Pelodiscus sinensis: one gene and its partners. The protein of the gene in region 3 purifies or fractionates together with the protein of the main gene of each other region. This does not show direct contact. Links are inferred from orthologs where the notes say so. Each region holds a gene or a part of one and is shown on either strand. Other genes may lie near its edges. The genes, in order: STRN4, STK24 and SIKE1.

The links.
Region 1: the proteins of SIKE1 (region 3) and STRN4 purify together in Homo sapiens (affinity purification with mass spectrometry; 3 studies listed by BioGRID and IntAct, with this or other methods). This does not show direct contact. The link is inferred for Pelodiscus sinensis from reciprocal best matches to the Homo sapiens genes SIKE1 and STRN4.
Region 2: the proteins of SIKE1 (region 3) and STK24 purify together in Homo sapiens (affinity purification with mass spectrometry; 4 studies listed by BioGRID and IntAct, with this or other methods). This does not show direct contact. The link is inferred for Pelodiscus sinensis from reciprocal best matches to the Homo sapiens genes SIKE1 and STK24.

The regions. Positions count from the first base shown.
Region 1 is NW_027465849.1:5,732,667-5,740,621, forward strand, and holds the start of STRN4 (striatin-4), read left to right. Parts: upstream 1-4,864; coding exon 4,865-5,104; intron 5,105-5,146; exon of another isoform or gene 5,147-5,197; intron 5,198-7,955. UniProt on the Homo sapiens protein: Calmodulin-binding scaffolding protein which is the center of the striatin-interacting phosphatase and kinase (STRIPAK) complexes.
Region 2 is NC_134711.1:249,514,280-249,522,064, forward strand, and holds the start of STK24 (serine/threonine-protein kinase 24), read left to right. Parts: upstream 1-4,783; 5' UTR 4,784-4,938; coding exon 4,939-4,980; intron 4,981-6,551; coding exon 6,552-6,782; intron 6,783-7,785. UniProt on the Homo sapiens protein: Serine/threonine-protein kinase that acts on both serine and threonine residues and promotes apoptosis in response to stress stimuli and caspase activation.
Region 3 is NC_134737.1:578,160-585,259, forward strand, and holds the start of SIKE1 (suppressor of IKBKE 1), read left to right. Parts: upstream 1-4,069; 5' UTR 4,070-4,228; intron 4,229-7,100.

The DNA of each region.
Region 1 (7,955 bases), on a different chromosome or scaffold from region 3:
CCAACAAATTATGTTCTTCTACATGCTTCACAATTTTATTCTTTACTATTGTTTCGACTAAATTTGCCCGGTACTGAAGTTAGACTTACCGGTCTGTAATTGCCAGGATCGCCTCTAGAGCCCTTTTTAAATATTGGTGTCACGTTGGCTACCTTCCAGTCATTAGGTACGGAAACCGATTTAAAGGATAGGTTACAAACCACAGATAATAGCTCAGCAATTTCCCATTTAAGTTCTTTTAGAACCCTTGGATGAATGCCATCCGGTCCCGGAGATTTGTTAACATTAAGTTTTTCTATTTGTTCCAAAACCTCCTCTAATGACACTTCAATCCGGGACAGTTCCTCAGATTCATCACCCACAAAGGACGGTGCAGATTCAGGAATCTCCCCAACGTCCTCAGCCGTGAAGACTGAAGCAAAGAAATCATTTAGTTTCTCCGCAATGGCTTTTTCGTCCTTGATTGCTCCTTTTATAGCTCGATCATCTAGGGGACCCACAGGCTTTTTAGCAGGCTTCCTGCTTCTAATGTACTTAAAAAACATTTTGTTATTACTTTTTGAGTTTTTGGCTAGCTGTTCCTCAAAATCTTTTTTTGCTTTTCTTATTACATGTTTACACTTGATTTGACAGTGTTTATGTTCCTTTCTATTTATCTCACTAGGATTGGACTTCCACTTCTTAAAAGATACCTTTTTGTCCCTCACTGCTTCTTTTACATGGTGGTTAAGCCACGGTGACTCTTTTTTAGGTCTCTTGCTATGTTTTTTAATTTGGGGTATACATTTAAGTTGGGCCTCTATTATGGTGTCTTTAAAAAGTTTCCATGCAGCTTTCAGGGATTTGGCTCTAGTCACTGTGCCTTTTAATTTCTGTTTAACAAACCTCCTCATTTTTGTGTAATTCCCCTTTTTGAAATTAAATGCCAGGGTGCTGGACTGCTGAGGTGTTCTTCCCACCACAGGAATGTTGAATGTTGTTATATTATGGTCACTATTCCCAAGCGGTCCTGTAACGGTTATATCCTGGACCTGATCCTGCACTCCACTCAGGACTAAATCGAGAATTGCCTCTCCCCTTGTGGGTTCCTGCACTAGCTGCTCCAAGAAGCAGTCATTTAAGCCATTGAGAAATTATTTTCATCTCTGCTTCTCTTCCTGGGGTGACATGTATCCAGTCAATATGGGGGTAATTAAAATCCCCCATTATTATAGAGTTCTCTATTTTGGTAGCCTCTCTAATCTCCCTCAGCATTTCTATGTCAGTATCGCTGTCCTGGTCAGGTGGCCGGTAATATATCCCTACTGCTAATTTCTTATTATTGGAGCATGGAATTTCTATCCATAGCGATTCTATGGAACATGTTGATTCATTTAATATTTTTATTTCATTTGATTCTACATTATCTTTCACATATAGTGCCACTCCGCCACCCACCCGGCCTGCTCTATCCTTTCTATATATTTTATATCCCGGTATGATTGTGTCCCACAGATTTTCCTCATTCCACCAGGTTTCAGTGATGCCTATTATGTCTATCTCCTCCTTTAATACGTGGTACTCTAGTTCACTCAGCTTATTAGTCTGACTCCTAGCATTTGTGTACAAGCACTTTAAAAATTTGCCACTGGTTATTTGTCTGCCCTTCCCTGATGCATTGGATTCCTTTTATGCGGTTGTTTGTCAGCTCTGGCCCATGGTTTGCCCTCTCCCCTCCTCTCTTTCCGACTACAGCTTAGAGAATCTCTATCAACGGATTCTCCTCTAAGAGAAGTCTCTCTCCGATTTACATGCATCTCCGCACCAATCGGCTTTCCCCCATCTCTTAGTTTAAAAACTGCTCTACGGCCTTATTAATGTTTAGTGCCAGCAGTCTGGTTCCACCCTTGTTTAGGTGGAGCCCATCCTTCCTGTATAGGCTCCCCCTCTCCCAAAAGTGTCCCCAGTTCCTAATAAATCCAAACCCCTCTTCCCTACACCATCGTCTCATCCACGCATTGAGACTCTGAAGCTCTGCCTGCCTACCTGGCCCTGCGCGTGGGACCGGAAGCATTTCCGAGAACGCCACCATAGAGGTCCTGGATTTCAGTCTCTTTCCTAGCAGCCTAAATTTGGCCTCCATGACATCTCTCCTACCCTTCCCTACGTCATTGGTACCTATATGTACCACGACCACAGGCTCCTCCCCAGCACTACACATAAGTCTATCTAGATGCCTCGAGAGATCCGCAACCTTCGCACCAGGCAGGCAAGTGACCATATGGTTCTCCCGGTCATCACAAACCCAACTATCTATGTTTCTAACGATCGAATCACCCACTACTAACACCTGCCTCTTCCTAACTGGCATTCCCTCCCCCTCAGAGGCATCCTCAGTGCGAGAGGATACCGCAACATCCTCTGGGAGGAGGGTCCCAACTATGGGATGGTTTCCCTCTGCTCCCATTAAATGCTCTGTTCCCTTGAGACTTTCATCCTCCTTAAGAACACTGGGGCTCTCAGACTGGAGGTGGGACAGTACTACAGTGTCCCAGAAAGTCTCATTAACAAAGCTCTCTACCTCCCTTAGCTCCTCCAGTTCAGCCACCCTGTCCTCCAAAGCCCGAACTCGGTCTGAGGGTCAGGAGCTCCTTGCAACGGGTGCACACATACGCCACCCGCCCACAGGGCAGGTAATCATACATATTACACTCGATGCAATAAACAGGATAGCCCCCACTCTGCTGCTGGGCTTCTGTCTCCATGTTTGTAATGAATAAGTTTAAGTACAAACTGGGATTCTTTTAAAACTTCTGGAGTATAGATTATTCTAAGAGTTAGGTTTTAAAGAAGGACACAAGTCACTAGTTCCCTCTAAGTTCCCTCTCCAAACTCTCCTGTTACCTGTTCCTGGTCGCACTCTCCGTGCTCTCCCAGGTCGCTGAGTCACAGGCTTATATAGCTCTGGTAGCCCCTCCCCCTGACTGAGGCTCAGCCAATTAACAGAGGCTTCTAGATTTCAAACCTTTTAGAAGCTCCTTCAAACAAACAAAGCAAACAAACCAGACAAACACAAGCTCAGCACACTGCAAATAACTCCCCCCCACACAACACACACTCCAGACAGCCACTTACCACAAGGGTCCCATTTTTACTCCTCTTTTCCCTGGAGAACTCCCTCTCCAAACTCTCCTGTTACCTGTTCCTGGTCGCGCTCTGACCAGGTATGACAACTCTGTGACAATCAACAAGGATCCTGAAGTGACTGGGATAGAAGTGAGGGGGGAAGGAAGGAGAGAAGCACACTGATAAAGCTGACTACCAAGCAATGGAGGATTTGGGGTAAGGCTAGCAGTTGCTCCAGATAAAGATGTAGATGGGGAAAGAAAATGGTGACCACTGAATAGTTGAAAGGACAGTAACTGCTCTGAATAGGGGCCAGTATGGAGCTACGGCAATGGATGAAATACTCCAGCATTATGGCTAGGGAGAGGAGGCAGATTTTATTTGCCTTCCTCCAAACCAGACTGAAGTCTCAACTCTGTGCTGAGAAGGGATCTACCCTGGGGGGCAGAGAGAACAGTATTTTGGGAAGGAGCATGATCTGGGAAGGAGGCGGCCTGTCATTGGGGTGGCCTATGCAGTCCTGGGTGGAGGTGACTGTACTTGCAGTGGTGAGGAGCCTTGTGCTATGGGAACCTCTACTTGTTTGCTGTGGGTGGGTAGGAGAAGCCTCCCTGGAGTGGGCCCTGATCAAGACCCCCTGCTGAAATGGGAACTGCTCACTGTCTGCTTTTGGGATAGGGCAGAGAAGAGACCCTATTCTAGAGGGAACTTGACTGGGGTACCCACTTTAATTTGAGTGGGGTGTGAGGCATGGGAGGTGTTACCATGGGAACCCGTCCCTGGCTGTTGGGGGGGGGGGCATTTGAACCAGGCTATGAGGGGGAACTGTCATGGGAGCTGCCCTCTCCCTGCTCCGGGTGGGATGAACCCAGCCTGCAAGGTGGGAGGTTGGAGGGGGGCGCTGTTACCATAGGAACCCCTCTCCTTGCAGGCCTATTCTGGGGGGCCCCTGGAACCCTTCTCCTTGCTCTGGCTGTGGGGCAGGTGAAGGGACCTGTTGCCATGGAAACCACCCCCCACTTCCGGGGGGGGGGGGGGGACAAGCAGACCTACCTGGAGGATGTGGTTGCCAAGGGGGAAGCAAGCCTGCTCTGGGGGAGGTGCTGTCATGGGAACCTCCTGCTGGGGGGGTGGATATTCCTGGGGGGGGGGAATGGGAGGGGACGTTGCCATGGGAACTCCCTGCTGTGGGGGTGGGTCGCAGGCCTACCGGAGCAGGACCGTTGCCATGGGAACCCCACACTCGGAGGGGGGTAGCAGCCTACCTGGAAGGGGCGTTGCCATGGGAACCCCACACTCAGAGGGGGGGAAGCAGCCTACCTGGAAGGGGTGTTGCCATGGGAACCCCACACTCAGAGGGGGGAAGCAGCCTACCTGGAAGGGGTGTTGCCATGGGAACCCCACACAGAGGGGGGAAGCAGCCTACCTGGAAGGGGCGTTGCCATGGGAACCCCACACTCAGAGGGGGGAAGCAGCCTACCTGGAAGGGGCGTTGCCATGGGAACCCCACACTCAGAGGGGGGTAGCAGCCTACCTGGAAGGGGCGTTGCCATGGGAACCCCCTGCTGGGGGAAGCAGCCTACCTGGAGAGGCCCGTTGCCAGGGGAAACCCTCCGCTCGGAGGGGGGAGCGAGCCTGCCGCGGAGAGGAGGGGGGGCGCGTTGCCATGGGAACCCCTCCCTGCCCCCGTCCCGCGGCGCGGGCCCCATTTCCTGGCGGATCACTATCTGGCAGGAAGTGCCCCCCCGCGCGGCTCCCTATGTGGCAGCCGCCGGGATCCATGATGGAGGCTGAGCGGGTGCTGGTGCGGGCCCAGCAGGCCCCGGGCCCGGCGGGGGCCGAGCCGCCGCCCCCCCCGCCGCAGGCCCCGGGCCGGCCGGCCGCGGGCTCCGGGCCCGGCGAGCTGAGCCTGCCCGGCATCCTGCACTACATCCAGCACGAGTGGGCCCGCTTCGAGGCCGAGAAGAGCCGCTGGGAGGCCGAGCGGGCCGAGCTGCAGGTGCCGGGGCCGGGCCGGGCGCGGGGAGCCGCGGGGGGTTACCGGGGCCGCCGCTGCCTCCGCCGCTGCCGCCATCTTGGAGGGAAATGGCCGACGGGACCCCGCGGGGGGGGAGAACCCCCCCCAGGATTGGGGGAGCCCCGTGGGGGGGAGGGGGAGTGTCAGGGCCCCCCCCAGGACTGGGGAGCCCCGTGGGGGGAGGGGGAGTGTCAGGGCCCCCCAGGATTGGGGGAGCCCCGTGGGGGGGAAGGGGGAGTGTCAGGCCCCCCCAGGATTGGGGGAGCCCCGTGGGGGGGAGGGGGAGTGTCAGGCCCCCCCAGGATTGGGGGAGCCCCGTGGGGGGGAGGGGGAGTGTCAGGCCCCCCCAGGATTGGGGGAGCCCCGTGGGGGAGAGGGGGAGTGTCAGGCCCCCCCCAGGATTGGGGGAGCCCCGTGGGGGGGAGGGGGAGTGTCAGGCCCCCCCCAGGATTGGGGGAGCCCCGTGGGGGGGAAGAGGAGTGTCAGGCCCCCCCCAGGATTGGGGGAGCCCCGTGGGGGGGGAAGAGGAGTGTCAGGGCCCCCCCAGGATTGGGGGAGCCCCGTGGGGGGGGGAAGAGGAGTGTCAGGGCCCCCCCAGCATTGGGGGAGCCCCGTGGGGGGGGAAGAGGAGTGTCAGGGCCCCCCCAGCATTAGGGGAGCCCCATGGGGGGGAGTGTCAGGCCCCCCCCAGGCCTGGGGCAGCCCCATGGGGGGAAAGGGGGAGTGTCAGGGCCCCCCAGGACTGGGGGAGCCCCATGGGGGGAAAGGGGGAGTGTCAGGGGACCCCCCCAGGACTGGGGGACTCCCTGGGGGCATAGGAGGAGTGTCAAGGCATTCCAGGTCTGGGGGACTCCCGGTGGAGGCCGAAATTGGAGTGATAGGGCCCCCAGGACTGGGGAAGCCCTATGGGGGGAGGGTCACCTCCCCCCCAGGAACATGGGTGGGAACCTCCATGGAGAGGGAGTATCAGGATCCCCAGGACTGATGGACTTCCCATAAGAGGAAAAAGGGAGTGTCAGAGGCTCACCCAGTACTGGGATCCCCCCCCTGGGGGGATTGGGAAATTTCAGGACCCCGTCACAGAATTGGGCTGACCCCCTGACAGGGAGAGGGGGCGTAGACCTGGGTAGAGACTGGGAGCTGAAGGGACAAGTTGGAGGTGAGTGATTAGAGGGGGATACGGAATGGGGGAGGTATTGGGATCCTTCCCCCCCCAAAGTTGGCACCCCTCAGTTGTAATTAGGGTGTTGAGCATTCCTGTCCAAGAAGGAATGAAGCGGACTGGGGGGAGGAGAGGGGTATGTGACAGTTGCCTCCCCATAACACTGAGGGAAGGAATTAATGTGTTGGGCTTTTGTATCTGTTACCCTTTAATAGGAATTGGGGTGAACTGGGGGAGAAACACGACTGTCATTCTCTCCTTAGTGACCAGTGAAGGAATTGGGGTGATGGTAAGAAATACAGTTTTCAACCCCATAGCAACTAGCAGTGGAGTTGGGGTGATTATTGGGGCCAGGCCAGGAAATAATTGATGCTTCCCAAGAGGGATTGAAGAGGGAATGGAGGTGACAAGGGGAGAAATGTAGTCATTGCCTCCCAGTACGGACAGGGGAAGAACTGGGGTAAGGATATGCATCTGTCAACCCCATGGCAACTAAGGAAGAAGGGAGAGCGGACAGCAAATACTCAGACCGGTAATAGCTGGTGGTGGGGATATGGGGTTGAGGTGGGACACTGCCATCATATCCTAGTAGAGAGCTGCAGGGAGGTCGCTTCCCTGGGTAGCCTCACTGGGTCTGGTCAAGAGGAGCAGCTTCCCAGTTATTGGTGTTTGGTGCCAAGGGAATATCACTCTCCCAGCTGCATATGTTTTAAGGAGCAGGGGATGGTGATCTCCCTGCTAGGGTATGAAGACTAGCAGGGCTGTTCTTCCCCAGTAGCTCTGGAGATGGCATTTGGATGTGAGGAACCAGAAATCTCCCCAAACAACCATGCTAGGATTGCCCAGGGATTAGGGCTGTGAAGCATTTTATTAACTTCCGTGAGCAGCCACAGCCAATGGATCTGAGGTTAGTAATATGGGTGAATTCAGCTCCACAGGGATGGAAGGATGAATTGGTTGGGATGGAAGTAGGTGCTGAAGATGTCAAGGGAATGCCCTGTCCCAAATGGCACTTTCTCAAGCCCCCCTCGAGAGGGGCAGTGAGCCAGGGACCTTTGAATGGTGCAACCCATCAGCACCTGGGTGAGAGAGTTACTATCTTCTTAAACACTGATGGGTTTGCAGGGCACAGGAGAGAGGTGAATAAAATTGACCCGATCTTGCCAACTTCACTTTGATGCCCTGTTTTCACATGGCGAACGGGTGGAAGAGGTGAAGAGTAGTAGTTTATCATCTGCCAGGCTGGAAGCATGTTGCAGGCTGTAAAACATCTCCAGAAGGTCTCAGATTTCAGGATCCAAATGGCTGCTATGGATGTAAGGCATAAACTTCTGCTTTTTAGGGTACCTGCTTGTATATGGGCTGGTTTATAATAGCTGGTCTATGTAGCAAGGGGAATTGAACCAGACCACACAGCAGGGTTTGATGCAAGCAGTGGCCTGAAAGGCAATGGATGGGACTGAGTTCTAGGTACCAGGCGAGGGATTGTAAAACCGAAGAGGGCTGGGGAGTTAAATGAGATTAAGCTACTAGAAGAGCAGCACTGTGACTTGAGTCTGGAGGGCGAGGCTGAGGAGAGCTGTGTAGGAGGGATTATGAGTGGAACAGGAAAGGGAATTGCTGATAAAAGCAAGGTGTGTCTGGGGTGCGGGTGGAAGGGTAGCAGATTGG
Region 2 (7,785 bases), on a different chromosome or scaffold from region 3:
GCCTTAGTTCGAACTAGGGTGGTTAATGTATGCAACCGGAGTTGCAAATGAAGCCCGGGATTTGAATTTCCCGGGCTTCATTTGCATATTGCCGGGCGCCGCTGTTTTTAAATGTCCACTAGTTCGGACTCCGTGCCCGCGGCTACCCGCGGCACGAACTAGGTAGTTTGGACTAGGCTTCCTAGTACTGTGGAACGGGGTGTACCGGTAGTTCGGACTAGGAAGCCTAGTCCGAACTACCTAGTTCGTGCCACGTATAGCCGCGGGCACGGAGTCCGAACTAGCAGACATTTAAAAATGGTGGCGCCCGGCAATATGCAAATGAAGCCTGGGAAATTCAAATCCCGGGCATCATTTCCAACTCCGGTTGCCTACATTAACCACCCTAGTTCGAACTAGGGTGGCGAGTGTAGACATACCCTTATAGACTAACGAAACATGTAGATGGTATCATGTGCCCACCAAAGCTCATGATACCATCTACGTAAGTGGTCTCCAACCTTTTCACACCCAAGATCACTTCTTAAATGACAGAACAAGCCAAGATCTACCACCCCGCCCCTTCCTTGAAGCTCCACCCTCTCTATTCTCCTCCTCTCCATCACTTGCTATCCCCAACCCTTATACCGCTGCTTTTTTCCCCAATTCTTCTGTAGGAAGAGGTTTTTCCAACATTTGGCCTGTCTAGACCGGACCAAATGTCAGAAAAACCCCTTCTTTTGGAAGCCCCCTTATTCCTTGTGGAAAGAGGAATATAGAGGTGACCGAAAGATCATGTTTGCTCTTCCACTAAAAGAAGTGGAAGAACAAATGCATCTGTGGATACAGAAGAGTTTTTCTGGGATATCTCCGGAATCCTGAAAAACTCCTGCAGTCTAGCCGTAACCTTGCTGGGTTGAGACAGAATGTGTAGGCTCTAGAGTGGGAATGAAGGATTTGGGTGTGGGAAGGGGTGAGAGGTGCAAGTTCTGGGAGGAAATCTGGATGTAGGAGAAGGTGGATAAGAGGACACTGGCTTGAGGAGAGGGCGCCAGGCCGGGCAGTGTAGGGTTAGGGTACTAAGCAAGCCACAGACTTCTGGATGTGAGGGTTCAGGAATTTGGGTTGAGGTATGTGAGGGGCTCAGGACAGGGGTTTCCAGTGTATGATAGGCTCCGATGTAGGGTCTGGGGGAAAGGTAAGCGCAGGAGTGTTATGATGCTGTGGCCAGATGGGTTCTTAGCCCCAGTTTGGGGTTTGTTGGCTAGGCTTCATTTTTAAATCAAATAGTGTATCAAACAAAAAGTTTCTGCATTTTCTTTATTTCTCAGAAGGGCAGGGAACCTTTCTTGAGTCAGGGGTCATTGACCCAAGAAAAGTCAGTTGGGGCCACACAAGTGAGATGCAAAAAAACCCTCCTTCACCCCCCCTAAGCTTCACTAATGTGGTCCCAACTGTGTTGGTGGGAACAGGGGACATAGTACTGGGGAAGGGTGCTAGTGGGTGCTTTGGCAGGGGACAGGGTGCCAGTGGGGACAGGGTTCTGTGGATCGGGACAGGGGAATGGGGACAGAGTTCAAAAAGTGGGGATGGGAATTGGGACAGAGTTCGGTAGCTGGGGAGAGGGAACTGGGCAGTGGGGAGTGGGAATGGGGCAATGGGAACAGGAGGAGGGGGGCAGTGGAAGCAGAGAGTCCCCTGCATCTGCCACCTCCCAGGATTCTCCCCCCCCCCCCCCCCCCACGGGAAGCCAGCATGTGCCTCCTCGGGGCCCAATTCACACGCTCCCCCGGCGCAGGGAAGTCCTGCGTGTGCCTGCCCTGGGGTCAACCCCCCCCCCGGCACAGGGAAGCCCTGCGCACAGACCCCCCCCGGCGCAGGGAACCCCCACGCATGCCTACCCCGGGGCCGACCCCCACCCCCCGCGCGCCTGCCCCGGGGCTGACTCACTCCTCCTGTGCGGTGCAGTGAGCCAATGCTCCCTTCCGCAGTACACCTGGCAGAGCAGCTAGCGCACTTCCAGAATCGTCGGAAGTGGCGCTAAGCTGCAGGACTTCTGTCCATCCCAGGGAAGTCGACATTACCTCCATTTTCACTTGAGGTAGGTAGTGGGGCTTCTTGAGGGTGGGAGGGAAATGGGGGCGCGATTGACTGGTCGAGGCCTCATGATCGACCAGTCAATCGCGATCAACCTGTTAGTGACCACGGATCTACATGTTTTGTTAGTCCAGGGGTTCTCAAACTTTGTGATACCACGACCCCCTAAAATGCTAAATGAATGTGTGACACCCCGCACCCTCACCAAAGTTGTTAAGCAAAAAAAAGAAAAAGGGGGGGGGGGGTGGAAGCAAAAGTCGTTAAGCAAAAGTTGCACCACTTTGTCCAGTTTGGGACTGCACCCAGCCCTCCCTGAGCCAGGCCCTCATCCCCCCCCATCCCAGTGCACTCCCCCCTCCACCTGAGGCAGGCCTCCCAGCACCCCCCCATCCCAGTGCACTCCCTCCTCCCTCTGAGAGGCATCCTCAGAGTCCCGGAGCATGCTCCAATCTAATCTCCCCCCCACCACTGCAGAGCCAGGCACGAGGAAACTCTTACTTTCAAAGTGGCTGCTCTTGAAGCCCAGCCCGGCCCGGCCGCCTCAGCTCACAGCATGACTCAGGAGCATCATGTGGCCAGCTGTCGGACTCTGCTGCTCACGTTGGCCAGAGCAGCGCACGCTCTGGCACCCCCCCAACGTGGCGCCTGGTGACTGCTCCCTCCTGCCCCCCTTTCACTAGACTCTGCAGCGCTCCTCACTCCCCGCCCCTGCCATATGAGGCAGGGTAAAATTGCCCCTGCTGGGCTTCTGTCCGGTATTTCATGTTTTTTTTACATGTGGAGAGAGACACATTCTTTCAAGAAAAAAACCGGATCCAGCTGCAACCCCTCTGTAAATTCGTCGTGACCCCACAGGGGTCTAACTGCGTTAGTCTATAAAGTGCTACCAGACCTTTTGTTGTTTTTTTGTGTGTTGTGGTAGCTATGCTATCATAACACCATAATACAGATGCAGCGTACACTGACTGAAAGATTTTCTATTGATATAGAAACATCATCTCCCTGAGTGATGGTGTCATCTCCTATATCTACAGAAGCATTCTTTCAGCAATGCAGGTAAGTCCTACAGTGGAGGTGTGCTTTTCCACATGTGGACAAACAGATCAATTCAATTTTTACATTTAGACCCAGTCTTACAGTGGTGTGAAAGGGAAATCAACTCCTCTGTGTGTGCATGATATCCTCTGCATAGGTGAGGTTATAACAAATGACTGGTGTGATCGGGGCAGCCCGTGCCTATAGGCAAACCTGGCAGCTGCCTAGAGCGCCAAGTTAAATGGGGCGCCAAATTCCCTGCCACTTCCCCTTCCCCCAACGCCTGACTTCAGCACTGGAGGAGGAGTGCGGCTTCCCTGCACCGCAGGAGGGGTGAGTCGGTCCCGGAGGAGGAGCGTGGGGAGTTGGCCCCAGGGGAGGCAATGCGCAGGGGTTCCTTGCACCGTGAGAGGGGGGATCAACCCCGGGGGAACAGGCGCACGTGGGTTTCCCCGCAGTACGGGAGGAGAGGGGTTGGCCCCGGGGTAGGCACGTGCCGGCCTCCCCTGCGCTGCGGAGGGGGTGGGGGGTCGGCCCTGGGAGAGGCACATGTGGGGGTTCTCTGGCTGCAGGGGGGGGGGTCGGCCCTGGGGGAAGCAGTACATAGGGGTTCCCCATGCCGAGGGAGGAGCAGGTCGGCCCCGGGGGAGGAGGCGCACCACAGGAGGGGGGTCGGCCCTGGGGGAGGCAGGCAACAGCTTCCCCTGTGCCGCGGAAGCGAGGGGGGTCGTCCCAGGAGAGGCGTGTGCCAGCTTCCCTCTGGGGGAGGAGGCGGTTGCAGGGGACTCTCTCCCCCCACTGGTACCCTGTTCCCTCTCCCTTTTCCCCAGCCACAGATCTCCATCCCCGGCCCCCTTGGCTCCAGCCACAGAACCAAAAACCTCAGTCTATATCTGCCCTTGGGGTTGGAGGCGCCGATTGCTTGGTTCGCCTAGGATGCCAGTTGCTAGCAGCTAGTCTAGGGCCGCCCCTGGGTGTGATGAAAAAATATTGATAACAGGTCAGAGTTACTCAAATGGCTCATTGGCAGTTCTCTCACTTGCTAGTTGGCAATCTAGAGAAAGAGCTCCCAAGCCAGTGAGGTAAATCCAATGCACATCACTGCAGCATGTCAGATAAAAGGGACCAAATGGCAGTAGGGTGCAGGTTAGCACAATGTCTGGTGTAGGTGTTTTTGCGCATTGTGCTCAGGCTCCAGCCCTAGGCGGATACTCACGACAAGGGAACACTACGCCCTGCCTTCGCCAGTGAGCCCCCCTCAGACACAGGACACTGCCCCAGACACCGCTCCCCAGCCGTCTTCGGGGGCACATGCCCCTCGCGCGCGCGGCCCCGAAGGCCAGACACCGCTCACGCGAGACACCCCCCGCGGGCGCGACCTCCCCTCCCGCGGCGATTCACCGCTGGCAGCTGCAGGGCGGCGGGGATCTGCGCGAGCCCGGACCGGTCACCATCATCCGGGCGCGAAGCCCGGCAAGCGCCTCGTGCCGCTACCGGCATTCGGGGGCGGGGCGAGAGCGCGCGCGCCCCTTGCACGGCGGCCGTTGTCCCTCGCCCGAGCTGGTTTGCGTTACGTTAGCAGCCCCCTCCTCCCCCCTTCGCGCGGGACCGGTAACGACCGCTCTACGCGCGCGGCGCAGGGGAATGGGGAGCTCGGGTTCGACGCTGAGTCTCTGACGGGACCTGAAGCGGGGCGGGGCGAGGAGCGCCAGGGAGCTCCCGCCCGCAGACGCTCGGCGAGTCGTGCGTGGGGGAGGGGGCGAGGAGCTGATTCCAGTCGCTAGAGCCGCCTGAGCAGAGCCCCGAGGAGCGCGCGTCGGCGCCGCCATGACTCAGTCCCCGGTGCAGCCCGGCCTGCGGGAGATGCCGGTGAGACTCTGGCCCCGCCCGGGCGGGGGTTGCGGCATAAACTGCCTGGAGGGGAGGCGTGCGGGCCCCGGCACTGCTGGAAACGCCCGCGGGCGGGGGGGCTGCCAGGTTCCGCCTCTGCGGCCCGTGTGCGGCTGGGGGTCCTCGGGGCGGTCGTGCCGCTGCCGGGAAAAGCCACTTTGCTCTGGCACCGCCCATCAGTGCCCGTGCCCGGGGTGGGGGCGGTCATTGGGAAACAAACGGCTTTGCCAGCGCCTGGCTAAATCAAGGCGGAGGTGCTTGGGCCGTGCGCCTGGCTCCCTTCCTTGCTCCGGGAGAGCCAGAGGCCGCCCGAAGGGGGGGAGGCTCGTTGACTTTGGAAACACAACCCCTCCCTGCAGTGCAAAAGCGTTGCCCTGCAGGATGCGCTTTGGGAGGAGGAGGGGGTGGAGGTTGTTTTGTCATGTGAATTGCTTAGTTAGGGCCGGTATGTGTTTCTGAATAATTGTCAAGGGGCTCATGATCCCTGGGCTAGGCATCCCTGCCTACTTTGTCTGTCTTTGTCTTATTATTAGTTCAAATAAAATAACAAAGCCCTCGCAGAGAAACCTTAAAACTGTCAGTGTTTGTGTATTGTTCTAATTGGACCCCATGTATCTTTAATAGAGCTTGGATGCTACTTCATGACATGCCACTTTGAGGCCCAGCCTTCTTTTTTTATTTCCTTATAACTTCCTCAAATTACCTTTTGGGATTGAAATGTTTTATGCTTGGTGTGGCTTTAAAGTAAATTTATTTCTGGTTAGTGTTTCATCTATCTCATGCACTAATTCAGGTCTTTTTTTTTTGGGGGGGGAGCTAGCATAGCCTAGAGATTTTAATTGAAAATACCCATTCATATATCTATAGAAGACTGTGTACTTGCAAAAGCATAGGGGAAATATTAATGGGAAAGACTTAAACTGTTAACCCTGGCATGTACTACACATGCACAATGTTCTCCCTTCCACCTACAGACAGTGTGCACTCAAATCAGTTGTTGTTGTGACCTGGAGGGCTCCTGACTTTTATGTACTGTGCAAAGTCATCCATCTCCTCTGGAGACCCTTAAAATTACTCATTATTATTCAGAAAAATATGCTTAGGTGTTCCGTATGTCTGGTAATTGTTTAAAACGAGGAAATAAGTTGTAAAATTCTATCTGACTATGTCATGGATTAATTTTAATTAAAAAAGATATGACAGATTTCATTGTATCATGTTTCTTGCAGGAACTGTAATTTAAACCTTTTGAACACATTAGGCTCTGTGGTCGCTAGCTGAATATCTAGTACCCAGTTTTTCAAACACTTAAGGGGGGGAAGAAGGGAATTCCAGCACAACAGGTTGGAGTGGCCCGTTTAATTTGTTAACTGGTTAAAGGTGAAATAAATTTCACCTTTAACCAGTTAACAAATTACACTGTCTTTTAAATCCTTAGTTCTAATGAGCTGCACAAAGTCATTAATCTTTGTCTTTAGAAATGTTAACATATTTGTTTGTAACACTGAAAGCAAGTATTGAGTATCTTTTTCTTTTTATAAATTTAACAGAATATAAAAGCGGATCCAGAAGAACTGTTCACAAAACTGGAGAAAATTGGCAAGGGTTCTTTTGGTGAAGTTTTTAAGGGAATTGACAATTGGACTCAGAAAGTGGTTGCTATAAAAATTATTGATCTAGAAGAAGCAGAAGATGAAATAGAGGACATCCAGCAAGAAATCACAGTTTTGAGTCAGTGTGACAGTCCTTATGTAACCAAGTATTATGGATCCTATTTAAAAGTAAGAATATGCTTTTCTGTGTGTGTTTTACAGTTAAAAATGTTGCTCTACTGATGTCCTTGTCATAAAAAATTGAGGTTGAATAGAAGAATAGTTTTTCAATGGAAGAGGAAATATTTTCTCCCTTTAAACCCTAAAACGAGTGAACTGTTTATAGTTTGTAAAGAGTTTGCTTCCAGACCTACCTGAAGAATAAAATAGTACGTGTCTGTTTTGTCACTTAGTGACAGGAAGAAATGAAACTTTAAGTAACAGACTTGTTACTGGTGACATTCAGGTCTAGCAGTGGTATATTTAGATCAATTTAAACTTAGAATATTTTCACTCTTAGTTTATTGTTCAACTTGAGAATACATTTAAAACATAATAAAAATTGGCATAAAACTACTAGAAACAACTCAGTACCAACTTTTACCACATTTTAACAATTTTGTCACAACAATTTTGTAGAAGTATGCTTTTTAAACATGGAGTTTTGTTTAAACTTTATCCTATTTTTTACCTGAATGGATCAAAAAATTAATTTGCTAACTTGTGACCTATTTGCAGAAGGTGTTTAGTAGAATAGCCTTAAGTAAAGGCTGAGAGATCCTGTTTGGGTTTTGGTTGGTGCTTTGGTTACAAGCTTTACTTATCTCTTGGATTTTATTTTTCTTTGAAAATATCTAGTTTTTTTACAGTAAATCAGCTGCAGTGAGTTTTAATATATCAAGTACAAAAAGGTATTTCTTCTTTGCAGAAAGATTAATGTTTAAGGTTTCTCTAAGGACCCACTTCCAGTAGGACAGTCAATTGTGTACTTCCAGTGGCCTGGCCTTGTTATCCAAGGCAACTTGAGGAAAAAGTCCATCACCAATATTCACTCAGAGGGCATGATACTCTATCACTGTCTTTGGGTGTAGTAAGCCTAAAAAGCATATTGCCGAACAAAATAAACTGGCATCCACTTTTAGTTTCTGAAGTCCCCTCTTGAAATCTCCTGACCAAGTGTTGGTGTTTATGT
Region 3 (7,100 bases):
GCCCTGTAGAACAAAGGTACATTAAGCTTCAAGGACAGTAAATGTCACTAACAATCACTTCACTTAGCAAATGAGTAACAAAGAACCAAGTCAGCATAACAGAAATTCTGTTATTTTAACTTGAGTGGAGGATGTTTACTGTGAAAAGGAACAAACAGGAATATTAGATAAGATGATGGATAAACAAAACTCAGCCTAGAATTTATCAAACAGTGTGTAAGGGGGTATTTAAATAAGTAACCAGAACCCCCTTGGGTCAAGGATGTGTGCCCTGCTACAAATATACAACATTACCTGACATTGGTATTCATTACATACTAGCTTAAGTAGTAAATACTAAGTCAAAATTATCCCAGTAGAATTCCCTTAGCTGAATGTTACATCGGGGATTAAATTGATTTACTATATTTAAAAAAAACCACAATATTTTAAAATTGCTTATATTTCAACGTTCTTAATTAGGGAAAATGTATTGTGGTCATTTGCACTAAGTTTTATTTTCTCTAGACAAAAGCATGGTAAAAGGACTGTTTGTTTTTATTATGTTTTTCAAGGCTATTTCTGTAGCCAGTGTGTACAGTAGGGGAAGAACAACCCTAAGAAACTTTTTTCTGAGAAATCTCAGTTTGTTTATGTCAGTGGGCTCGCCCCTGTCTCGGGGTTGCCACCCCCATCCGGGGCCTAACTCGGCCCGTCTGGGCCTAGCCCTCAAAGTACCCTGCCCCTCTCGTAGGGGAAATACGGCCCACCGGCCTAGTCCCAAAGTACAATGCCCCTGTGCTAGGGGAAATACGGCCTCCCGGCCTAGTCCTCAGTTTGCAGGCCCGGAGGCCTAGTCCACAGTTTGCAGTTTGTTACCCTGCTCCCACGTGCCAGGGTCTCAGGCAGCAGGGGTAGGGGGGTCCGGGCCCTCCCTCTCCACCAGACCCCGACCCAGGGCCCTAGTAGTTTCGGGTGGTTCCCACCATTGGCTCGGCGGGGGCTCCTCCCCGCAACGCCCCGAGCCCTCAGGGGCTTCTCCAGCTCCCTGCCCTGGGTCGCTTCCTACCCCCTGCTCGCAGCCGGCCGCATCCCACCTGTCGGCGTCGGTCGATGGGCTGTAGCGGTCCTCCCCCTGGCCGCTGCAGAGTTGGCAGAGTCCGGTCCAGTGCTCGGGTCATGGGGGGTCGGTCGGCAGCTCCGGCGTTGGGGCCGAGCCCGGCAGAGGCCCGGCAGCAGCACGCTCAGCTCCCCTGGCAACTCCCTCTCTGGCCAGTGGTCGCTAGCTCCTGCTCGGGTCACAGTCTGCCCCTTCTGAGCAGGCCAGCAGCCTTTTATACCTTTGCTCCCTTTGGAGCATGCCCAGTAGGGCTGTGTGGGTGGGGCCCTCTCCGCCCCCGGCCCCAGGTGGTTTCCCTGGGCTTGAGTGCGGGGCGGGGCCACCCCGTCACAGTTTAGAAAATACATTTTCTAGTTCAAGAGACTCAGTCAAAAAATATATGTATTTATACACAACCTATTAAGTGAACTAAACCAGATAAATGTTTGGGTCATCTTTATGCAGGAACATAACCACAAAATTTCCACAAAAATTACACCTAGGCAGCCCTACAGAATGGGATTATTTGTAAACCTGTGTTTAGCAATAGCTTTACTTACCAAAATTCTAGATTTCTGTGTTGCCAATGGTTCAAAGGCATCATTCACCACGTCAATGAGCTCTTTCTTTCCATGGGCAGGTCACACAGACGAAAAAATTGTCATTATGTGCACATATTAAATATGTAATAATACAATAATACTTTGCACTTTCTTGCCTCTTCTTGACCAAGGAGCTCAAAGGCATGCCAAAAATTCACTAATTAGCCCACACCATGTGTAATAAGAAGGTTGGATCATCTTCATTTCACAGAAGCATAATCAGAGGCAGAAAGAAGTGAAGTGAATTGCCAAAGGTCACATAGCAAGCGTCTAGTGGATCTTCAACAGAACACAGTATCTGTGATTCCTAACTCCAAACTACTAGATCACATGCAACTTCCATAGCTAGGAATGAATCTAGTAGTCCTGACTCCCAATCCCTTGCCCTAGCCCTACCATTTCAATTAATACAACATTTTAAACTGTGAAATCATAGAAAACCTTTCAGCAGACTGTTTTGGTAATTCATGGCTGTCCTATCCATATCCTGCTACATTTCACATAGTTTTTGTTATATTGGTGCTTTCTCCAAATATACCATGTCTCTAAGGAGACATCTACACAGCAGCGTTATTTCGGAATAACTCACGTTATTCCGAAATAACACAATGCACGTCTACACTACAAGCCTTTATTTCTAAATAATGTTAAACTGGAGGACTTCTTACTCCAACTCATGGTAACCCTGCTTCCATGAGGAGTAAGGGAAGCCGAAGGAAGAGTGTTCTTCCTTTGACTTCCAGCTGTGTAGACAGTGCCAAAAGTCAATTTAAGCTATTTTGACTTCAGCTGCGCTATTGACGTAGCTGAAGTTGCATAGCTTAATTCAACTTTAGCCCTGCTGTCTAGATGTACCCTAAGAGAATTTCCAGAACTATAGTCAGTTAGGAGAACTTTATGACATTCTCAGTCTCCCACTATCCCTATCATTGCAAATAGACTGTAGGAGGGATGGTCCAGTGGTTGGGGCACTGGCTTACAACATAAGAGACTTGTGTGCCATCCACTGCTCCACTGGGGACTTTCTAGATAAGTTTAGGGAAATTACTTAGCCTCAGTTCTCTATGGAAATGATAATAATAATTTCCTATCTCACAGGGTGTTGTGACGCTAAATATGTTAAAAGATTATTAAGTGCTTTGTCGTCTGATGAAAAATAGTAGAGAAGAATGGACCATTATTTTTATGATCTTTACAGTGTATCATCACAAGGTAAAGGTCTCTGTGAAAGCTTCTTGGGATCCTGAGAAACACCATGACCATTCATGGCAAAGGACAAGCAACAATAAAAGCCACAAGAGCAAGTGTTAGAAAAAATGGGGACTAATCTGGTTACGATAGGTATGAAATAAAAGCTACCAAAAAAAGGAAACGTCTCTACACAAGAGCCTTCTGCAAACCTGATTGCAAGGCCTTTTGTTATCATTTAAAACAGACAAAATGCTGAACTAAGCACAAAGTGGGGGTGAGGAAGGACAGGACTTCCAAACTTTCCCAATTGAGCCTTGAGATTTTAGAGCTCTGCAATTGGGCAGAATGTGTGGGGGCTCAGTTCTGTTTTGTCGGTAATGGTTTCCTGGACCTTGTAATGCAGGAATGGGAAACCTACAGTCCACATCTGCCCCAGAGCTTGCCTGGATTTGGCCCTCAGGTCTTGGAGCTCTGCAGCAGGATGAGCAGGCACTGGTGCTGCTGGCAGTGGCAGGTGGAAACACCAAGCCTTGTGGGCTGGATCCACGCAAGCTGCGGTTTGCCTCCTGCCTGCAGGCTCTGCTTGTGGAGGTGGGAGGGAGAATGACAGGAGTAGTGTGTGGGGAGTAGAGCTGGTCAGCACCCGACAGTACAGCTGACCTACCTGTCCCCTTCCACTCACATGCCACCTACCCTCATTCCACTCCTGCACCCTCGCTCTTTCAGCCCGCACACTGATCCCCAGAGCCTGAAGGGCCCATAAATCTCTAAACCCCAGGCCTCCCAAAGTGAATCTGACGCTGGAGACCAGCCCTGAGCTCGCGGGGCTGGCGTGCACGGGGAACCCCGGCACCGCAGGCCATGAGGCGAGTGTGTCTCTTTTTCCCGTTCATCAGTCGGGGGCGCGTCCGAGAGTCTTGTGTTTGCTCCTCACTTGCATGTCGCCCTCCCGACGTTAATGAGCCAGGGGTCCCCAACCCACCCTGTTGTAATGAAGCGCTAAACTGCATTATACCGTTCAGCCACTAGGTGGCACTGAGTGTAAAATACCCGCTAGCACCGGTCTAGCTCCTCAGCCGCTGTCACGGGCGCCCCCCTGCGGCCCGACCACCTCACTGGTTAGCGTCGCTTCTCGCGCAAGCGCACAGGTACCTCTGCCCCAGCGGGGACGGGAAGGACGCGCGCATGCGCACTTTCCCAAGGTTGGGGGGCTTCCCTTTCTGTGCTTGCGCGTTCCCGAGTTCTCCGCGCGCATGCGCATTTTCTCTCCGCGGCTCTCGCGAGAGGCCGGGATTTACTCCTACGTGCTGTGCGTGCTGCCCGCGGCGGCGCTGGAGCGGGGCGCTGAGCTGTTGGGGTAAGTGCGGGCTCGGCGAATGGCAGGAGGGCCCGGGGGCCGCGACACCCCCCCTCCGCCCAACGGTCCCGGACGGGCAGAGCCCCTCCCCCCGCTCTCCCTGCGGGTGGGCCCGAGCGGCGGGGCCGGAGCCGTTTCGGGCCCACAGTTCCCGGCAGCCTCTGCGTGTGGCGGTCGCGGGGGAACTACAGCTCCCGGCATGCAGCGCGCAGCCAGTGTCCGTCCCACGCGCAGGGCGGGGGAGCGAGGGAGGCGAGGTTCCATAGGGGCTCCTCGTGGCATTCCAAGGCCGGGCCCATGGGGCCTGCCATCAGCTGGCGGCTCCGCGGGGCGCTGTCTGTGAACTGCCGCGTGCAGGCCGGGCGCTCCCCTGCTGCCCCTGGGAAGTATCCCGTCTCCTCCAGCCTCTCCCTGAGAGACAGCAAGGGGGACAGCGGGACTCCCCTTGCTTACCAGATCGCCAGCTACTCTTTCACTTCCCTGGCATACAAGGGTGGTGGCTGCAGCCTGGCAACGTTTGGTTCTGATTAATTGAAAAGGTGCATCTATGGAGCTCTTAATTTCATCCCTATTTAAACAAATTCAAATGTGAAAATGTGCAAGACCTTAAACTGCACAACATGTATAGCTTTACCTTGGCTGTCTTTGCAGCTGAGGTCATGAACTCAAATATAGAAATACAGAGATCAGTGTGACTTGAAGGATCTGCTGCTCTGGCTGTTTAGTTGAAGGGTATTTATAGCAGCTAAGATTAAAAGGAAAACATTTGGTTCACACATAGATTTAGGTTTGATGAGCGAGAACTTCAGTAAAATCTTTTTTCAATACTGTAAGAATGGTAAACCTATGTTGCATCAAAGCAGTTATGAAATGAAAGTATTTGCTTGATTTTTCTTCCCATATCTTAGGGATGTTAAAAAAAATTACTTTAAGTAATTGGATAACTTGCTGAAAATTTTAGTGGTTATATGGGGAGGCAGTAGTTCCTGCCTGCCCCCTCATTGGTTAACCATGTAAACAGTTAAACTTTCGCATCCATAATCTAAGTAAATTAGCCAGCAGATGTGTTATTAGGATGAGATGTTTTGATTTGTTTCAAGAAAAGTTATGTTCTTGCATGGCTAAAAAGTGTTAAATGTAGCATGAATTTATCAGTACCAAGAGTGTGATAGGCAATTTGGATGAAAAATAGTTCAAGGGGATCCTGACTTATTTGCAAGGCATTAATCATATGGCTCTATGCTTAAATTTTTCATGAAACAATCAAGGGTCTTTAGTCTAGTCTGGATCATGCAGAGAATGCAAATTTGTACTGCTGGTGCATTTTAATAGTGGTAAATTACTGTTATAAACTTGGGCTGTATCTGAAATAAACTTTATTCTGAGTGTTAAGATATGTGCGCTTCCCTAGCACTTTGGGTGAAGAGTCTCTAACCACAAAATAGTGTGTTAGCACTAGGGATGTCAACATGTAATCAAGCACAAGATTAACTGATAAGCCTAGGTTTATTGGGTAACCTTATTGACTACATACAGAATGGGAAGCAACTGTCTAGGAAGGAGTACTGCAGAAAGGGATCTAGGGGTCATAGTGGACCACAAACTCAATATGAGTCAACAGTTGTGACCCCGTTGCAAAAAAAGCAAACCTGAATCTGGGATGTATTACCAGGAGTGTTGTGAGCAAGACATGAGAAGTCATTCTTCTGCTCTATTCTGCATTGATTAGACTTCATTTAGAGTGTTGTGTCCAGTTCTGAGTGCCACATTTTTAAAAAGATGTGGAGAAATTGGAGAAGGTCCAGAGAAGAGCAACAAGAATGATTAAGGGTCTAGAGAACATGACCTATGAAGGAAGAATGAAAGAATTGGGCTTGTTTACTTTGGAAAGGAGAAGACTGAGAGGGGACTTGATAACGGCTTTCAGGTATCTAAAAGGGTGTCACAAGAAAGAGGGAGAAAAATTGTTTTCCTTGGCCTCTGAGGATAGAACAAGAAGCAATGGGCTTAAACTGCAGCAAGGGAGGTTTAGTTTGGACATGAGGAAAAACTTCCTGTCAGGGTAGTCAAACACTGGAATAAGTTGCCTAGGGAGGTTGTAGAATCTTCATCTCTGGAGATCTTTAAGAACAGGTTAGATAGACAACTGTTAGAGATGGTCTAGATCAGCGGTCCGCAACCTTTTGGTGCTGCCGGGGGCGGGGCCGCTCACGTGCTGTGCGCCCGGGTCTGCCTGGGGGCTGGCACCGCCCATGCTTCATGCATCCAGGGGCGGAGCCGGCCCCAGTCACTCGGCGGGCGCACATAAATGCCCTGGCAGGCGCCATGGCGCCCGTGGGCACCATGTTGGGGACCACTGGTCTAGATGATACTGGGTCCTGCCACAAGGGTAGGGAACTAGACCCGACCTCTCGAGCTCCCTTCCTGTTCTGGTCTTCTGTGATTCTACACACACAGGCGGTGGGGGTAGGGAGAAATGCATCGGAGTGCCTGTGACGAGATGGCTTTTAAGCCGATTCCCAAAGGCACTGGGTCCCGTGGAGCCCCACACACACATGCTGCTGCCTCTAATAGACAGGCAGCAGTGTGGAGGGTATGGGGGGGCAGGTGGGAGACTGTACACACAGGAATCCAGCTTTCAAGCCAGCTCCCAGCACGTGTCTGCTCCTGCAAGCCACTTGCACACCCTCCTTCCCCCGCCCCCCACAACACACACTGCTCCCTCCTATCTGAGGCAGCAGCGCTGGGGCGGGGGGCCGCGGGCAGAGGAACCGACACGTGGGGAACTGCACAATTATGTTATTGTTTTCCTATCCAGGGAACACATTTGTACTGGCTTGTGTGAAAAATAATTTACGCTCTAAGTGATTTG